Saccharomyces cerevisiae S288C: one gene and its partner. Changing the gene in region 1 together with any one later gene gives a genetic interaction. Each region holds a gene or a part of one and is shown on either strand. Other genes may lie near its edges.

What was found. Genes that interact genetically often act in the same process or in processes that back each other up.
Region 2: mutations in MCP1 (region 1) and ICS2 together harm fitness more than expected from each alone (negative genetic interaction), as found in Saccharomyces cerevisiae (one large-scale study listed by BioGRID).

What each region holds. Positions count from the first base shown.
Region 1 is NC_001147.6:766,322-769,720, forward strand, and holds MCP1 (Mcp1p), read right to left. Parts: upstream 1,457-3,399; coding exon 548-1,456; downstream 1-547. Other genes in the region: HER1 (Her1p), read left to right, coding at 1-244; WTM2 (transcriptional modulator), read left to right, coding at 2,088-3,399. UniProt on the Saccharomyces cerevisiae protein: Recruits the lipid transfer protein Vps13 to mitochondria thereby promoting vacuole-mitochondria contacts. Involved in mitochondrial lipid homeostasis.
Region 2 is NC_001134.8:553,043-556,062, forward strand, and holds ICS2 (Ics2p), read right to left. Parts: upstream 1,269-3,020; coding exon 501-1,268; downstream 1-500. Other genes in the region: SLI15 (Sli15p), read right to left, coding at 1-158.

The DNA of each region.
Region 1 (3,399 bases):
CATTATTAAAGCTAAGGGTATTGATTCTGTAGATGATCTGATTAAAAATGTTACCTCTGAAAAGGTTGGATTGGAATCATTATATGGAGATGAATTGAACTCTAGAAGCCCGAGTAATGACAGTTTACAAGAATCACAACAAAAGGCGCCTTTGCAGAGGCCCCTTGTTGAAGATGAAACAGTGACAAAAAAATATGACAAACTATTGAACGATCTGTCTAATGTTCGTCACAGTAAAACCTAAATTATTTTATGCTTCTGTCTTTCCTTTCTCTTTCGATTATTAGAAGGTGCATCTTTGTATAAATATCCCATCAATAATGTATTCTTAGGAATCTATATATGTATGTACGTTTTATGTGTATATGTATTTTACGTTTTTTCATAATCATATACTTTCTGCCGAAATTTTTTGCCTTCATTATGCACACTAATGTTATTAATCAGATAAAAATACAGAAATTTAAAATAAATACTGAGAATAATATAATTAACTGTTCGAGAATTGTCGCAAATTAATAGCTTCACACTACTCCCACAAGGATTCCTAATTCACGTGCAACAGCAACCGGATCTTTTTGAAAATGCTTTCGAATTGGTTGGGACCCAGTTTCGTAGAATCCTCTTTCATCAATCTAATCAGAGAAACGAACCCAACGAGTGTTAATAGATTGATAGCTGTGGACCATTTTTTCCTGCTAGTCATTTTTCTAACACCGAAATAACGGCAGAGCCCCGAACCTATATGATATACACCTGACTCGAGGAGAATAGCTAACGGCACCAGGCCTCCAAGCCATTTCCACCACCTGTTCTTGCTAGATAGTAATTGCTTTATAGAGGCGAAATCCACCTCAGTAGAGATGGAATTCGGCACCCATTTCATAATTAATAAGTGGTATATCAGGACGGGAACAAGGATGTATCCACTAATCACTTGTGGAGGAATGCGGAAGGTCTTATACAATCCAAATAAATAGCCAGAAATTCCACCAGTTAAACCAATCGAATCTTGGGATAGATCTTGTTCGGCCGATATCTTTAAATGTCGATGTCTATTTCTTCTTGGCTTGTTCCAGTTGTTCACGATTCGGAGCAAGACACCAGCAGAAACATGAAGAGTAATACCCGCAACTAACAGCTTGGTAGTTATGGACGGTAAAATCTCTCTCACCATCATTAAAACGTCGTCAGGAGCAGAATCAGGTGATACTGCCGGCGTGATTAATGTATTTGCTGCATGTAGTGGGAAATACAATGCCATGGGCAGTACCGAAATCTTTTGACAGTTCCAAAGGAATCTCCGACATGAACTCCTGGAAAAAGGATACGGAATGCCAAATATTTTTTTCCTCTTATCAGGATTACCATCTCCTTCGGGGCTATGTGCATTAACATCATGAGGGAGACTAGCAGGGTCTACTGGTTCTGGAGGCACTTCATGCAACTTTATCATCGTAATAAACAAAACTCTGGGCTAACTGGTATATGCCCTAGTAATTCGGGACCTGTTAGGAGCAATACAATCTACACAAGGTTTTCCTTACTTATTTTCCAATTGACGACCAACTTGCCTCACACAATTACAGAGCACGTATTCGCTCTCTAGCCACTCTTTTCAAAACAAATTTTAGTTGTGGACCTGGTTAGGATACAATCAGCGATGTCGGAAGACTGATGTAGTAGAATTGACTGGAACGCTTCTTCTATAGTCTACACGGAAGCTATACTCCCTTGAATAGATGGTAGATGTTCCGCATAAGGTTTGTCCTTTTGGTTTTTTAGCCCCGTTCGGGGTTCGAACTGCTAAGTCATATTCCGCACATATGCGTCCGCAGACTCTCATTGGATCATTCTTACCCATTCGGGTCATAATGCAAGCCTTTACCATTTATGGCACTTTGATTTCCCTTTCCATCTCACATCTTCAATTCTATTGTTTTTGAAAAAAAAAAAAAATAAAAAAAAAAAAGATTAAAGGCAATTAGTTAGCTGACGTATGGAACATCTCTGCTGTACAGCTACATTTACTTATAAGACAAGGAGCAATTAGTAGCGACGGGAGCAAGAACTAAAAAGGATAGAGGATGGCGAAAAGCAAATCCAGTCAGGGTGCGAGTGGAGCACGCCGTAAACCGGCACCTTCTTTATACCAACACATTTCTAGCTTTAAACCACAATTCAGCACAAGAGTCGACGATGTTTTACATTTTAGCAAGACACTGACATGGAGAAGTGAGATTATTCCAGACAAATCCAAGGGCACCTTGACGACTAGTCTTTTATATTCTCAAGGTAGTGATATTTACGAAATAGACACTACTTTACCATTAAAGACATTCTATGACGACGACGACGACGACGACAACGACGACGACGACGAAGAAGGTAACGGCAAGACGAAGTCTGCAGCCACCCCAAATCCAGAGTATGGTGATGCTTTCCAAGATGTTGAGGGGAAACCATTGCGCCCAAAGTGGATTTACCAGGGCGAAACAGTGGCAAAAATGCAATACTTGGAAAGCTCAGACGACAGTACGGCGATCGCGATGTCCAAGAACGGCTCTTTGGCATGGTTCAGAGATGAGATCAAGGTTCCCGTTCATATCGTACAGGAAATGATGGGCCCTGCTACTAGATACTCTAGTATTCACTCTCTAACCAGACCAGGTTCATTAGCAGTGTCAGATTTTGATGTGTCGACAAATATGGATACGGTAGTAAAGTCACAAAGTAACGGCTACGAGGAGGACAGCATCTTGAAAATCATCGACAACTCCGATAGACCGGGAGATATATTACGTACAGTGCACGTTCCAGGGACCAACGTGGCTCACTCAGTTAGATTTTTTAACAACCATTTATTTGCATCTTGTTCAGATGACAACATTTTAAGATTCTGGGACACAAGAACAGCGGACAAACCGCTTTGGACGCTAAGCGAACCGAAAAATGGACGACTAACGTCCTTCGATTCCTCTCAAGTTACTGAAAACCTATTTGTCACTGGGTTCAGCACGGGTGTCATCAAGCTATGGGATGCGCGTGCTGTGCAACTGGCTACTACTGACCTCACACATAGGCAGAACGGCGAGGAACCGATCCAAAACGAAATAGCCAAGTTGTTCCATTCTGGCGGCGATTCCGTTGTCGATATCCTGTTCTCACAAACCTCTGCAACAGAATTTGTTACGGTTGGAGGAACGGGTAATGTCTACCACTGGGACATGGAGTACTCTTTTTCAAGAAACGACGATGACAACGAAGACGAAGTTCGAGTGGCTGCTCCGGAGGAACTTCAGGGTCAATGTTTAAAATTTTTCCACACAGGTGGCACAAGAAGATCGAGCAACCAATTCGGGAAGAGGAACACTGTGGCGCTACACCCCGTAATCAATG
Region 2 (3,020 bases), on another chromosome or scaffold:
TTTCTTAACCATTCACTACTTTCGTACAATCGTTGATTTATTTCTGAATGTGCATCTGTTGTTAGATTATTTAGATCATCGAGGGTTTCTATGATTGAACGGGTAGAGCCTGGCTTCCTTTGAGTTTTCTTCCTAGCTGCTTTGATTGCCCAGTCCATTGTTTAAATCTTCGGGCTCTTTCAAAGTCCGTCAGTTGAGGAGATACTTTGAAACGTTTTGTTTGTATCATTGGCAATACTTGAAACGAGTTTTTGTTTGTTTTCTTTTTTTAGTTAATTCGCGAAATTTAAAATATGAAGATCGGTTTCAGAACAGAATGGATCAGGCTTTTCCGCGTATAAGAAATAATAACACTGACATAACGCTATAACGAAACAGCGTAACAAAATACTCTTTACATGGTTTATTTTTATATATTCATTTAACATTATCAAAACTAACATTAAGTCCTTTATTTATCAAAACAAACGAAAAAAAAAAATGCGAGACAAATGATCCAGTCATTTATTGTCAATATCTAAGTCAATTAGTGGTTGCAATATGTCTCCAGTTTCCACTTTATGAGCAAAAATTTTGCCCTCAATATTTATCTGATTTTTTTCAGCGAATTCTTTCAAACTCCCGAATCTACCGCTTGCGTTTCTTCTTAATTGTTCATTGGTATTCATGATTGTGTTTTTCGGGGACATTTGGTGGGTATATGAAGTATCCGGTGAAGAATGATATTCTTTGTCCAAGAAAGAACTTGCCAATGAAGTTTTTCTTGAATTGACGCCTATGCTTGAATTAGAATCGTACCCGTCAATGAAATTTGGCTTACAAGACCTGCTGAATGAGATTGCATGACTTTTTCTGTGGTAACTTTTCCTTCGCCCTGAAGGCTTTGTAAGTTCGTGTGATAATGAACGTGAATGCGAATGTGATGATAATTCATTACTTTCTACCCTTAAAGGTGATACCGCATTAGGCTTTCTTGGACATATGGAGGAATTTCTCCTCGTTTTCACACCATCCTTGTCTCCAGGGAAAGAGTAGGTCTTCAGCTTGTTGAACAGAGCTTCGCCTTGAGACTCTTCAAAATAAAAGCTCTTTTCGTACTCATGGGGTTGTTTGCTGCTATCGAACTGAGATTCTGTTGAAGAGAGAGAGCTGAAACGTCCATAGAGTGGGCTGCCAAGTGATTTAATGGATGTACTAGATTGACTGCCCGTAGTAGGAAAACTAAATGTGCTTATTCTTTCTCTTTCTTTTTGCTCAAATTTGCCCATATCTTGCTGGAAAGGGAAACTTCAGTGAAGTAATAACGAAGGTGGTGTAGAGTATAAATTTTTATTAAGTATGCGCTTTGACGTTCACATATTTGTAAAAGATTTATTTGAGAAGATAGAATGGGTCTCATTTATTTATACTTAAATGCTTCTTTGGATGTCAAGCTTTCTTGATGCCGGACTTGCAGTCGAAGGGCTCTTTCCCAACAGATATGTAACCAAATGCGTCGAATAGAAAAAGAAAGTCTTCCAAGGAAAGTTTATTACGAGGGGTTTTGTGCATTAACGTGGCATATAATTAGGTATAAACTCAAGGTTGGCTTAAGATTAGCGAAACAAAAGTATAAACGACCCAAAATTGGAGTGGATGTGTTCTTTAACACATAAACTGTCGTACAAAAAAAAAAGAAACAAAGAGCAGTTGAAAGAACATCAAGATCATAAGGACCCCCATATCGTGATAATCATTGATGACCAAATCGTGAACTCCCTGCGCCTATGCCGTGCCATAGCAAATAAAGTACTGGGCTGGATTGTTAATGACTTGCATATTAACGACAGGTAAACGGTACCCTATTTTTCTTTTTTACGTGCTACGGACGAAAAGTGAGGGTGATTAACGCTTCAAATAAGAAACGACGGCTAGCAGGGTCTAGATGCGTGAGATGAGATAAGGAAAAGAGCTCTGTGTCCCAGGTAATAATCCCTGGAGAGATATAATCTTCCCTACAACTTGATTGCATATTAACGCTCCCAAGTTGTGGCCATTGAAGAGCTCTACAGCAATGTCCCGACGAACGGAAATAACCCTCTTTTTCATGATATTTTCGGAGTTATCTCCACTGTCAACAACTATTCTCGAATATAACAGAATGAAAGGGATCACGTACGCTTGTTATATTGCTGTCGTTCTCCGTTCGCAATCCCATTATATGCGAGGGGCAAAAGAAGAGACGGCCGGTAACTCATTTTTTGGTGTGTGAGAATTGCGGAAGCTTCGTTCTCCCACCTTTTTTCGCTGTGTTTTTCTTGTCCTCAGCACCGGCTGGTCAAGCCGGTGCTGAACGGCCGGAGAGAAATATAAACGGATGAAAACGTGTTAATAATTGCATCAGTAGTAGGTGGCGGGGTTGTCTCATTTTTGTTATGGCGTAAGGTGAAAAATTGTAAAGGATTGGTTCGGTTGGGTTGGCGACAATTAATTATGGGATAAAAAATTGCTTAATCTTTATTGGAGCAATTACCTGCATAGGCACTCATAGGCCACAAGGGTTTGATGGCGGAAGGATGTTATACCTACGATACTACCATACATGTGATATGTCACTTTCTAGTCCGAAGCGTGGAACATATTATCTTGTTTGACGTTGTGGGTGTTAACCGTAATTGTCTGGGTACGCCGAAGGCACGGAGACCATGTTAAAATATGTTTCTCTTTTTTGCTCATTTTTTTCTATTTTTTGCTGCGCATTGCCCGAAGCTTTTCTTAGTGGTAGTCTGCTCTCGCGCTCTTTGTTACACTCGCAAAATTTTTTTGCTGGGCAAAATAAAGCACTCTCCGGCCATTACTGGCTGTCGTCCGCCAGGATTTTCATTAACTTGCAGAAGTAAACAAACAAAACACAATTATGACACCGTGGAAGTTTCCTAAATGGTAACAAAAAGCTTAATTGAAAGAAAGAATTTCCTTCAACTTCGGTTTCCTGGTTCCGCTATTTCTCGCTTGTTTCTTCTATTGGACTTAGGATGTCT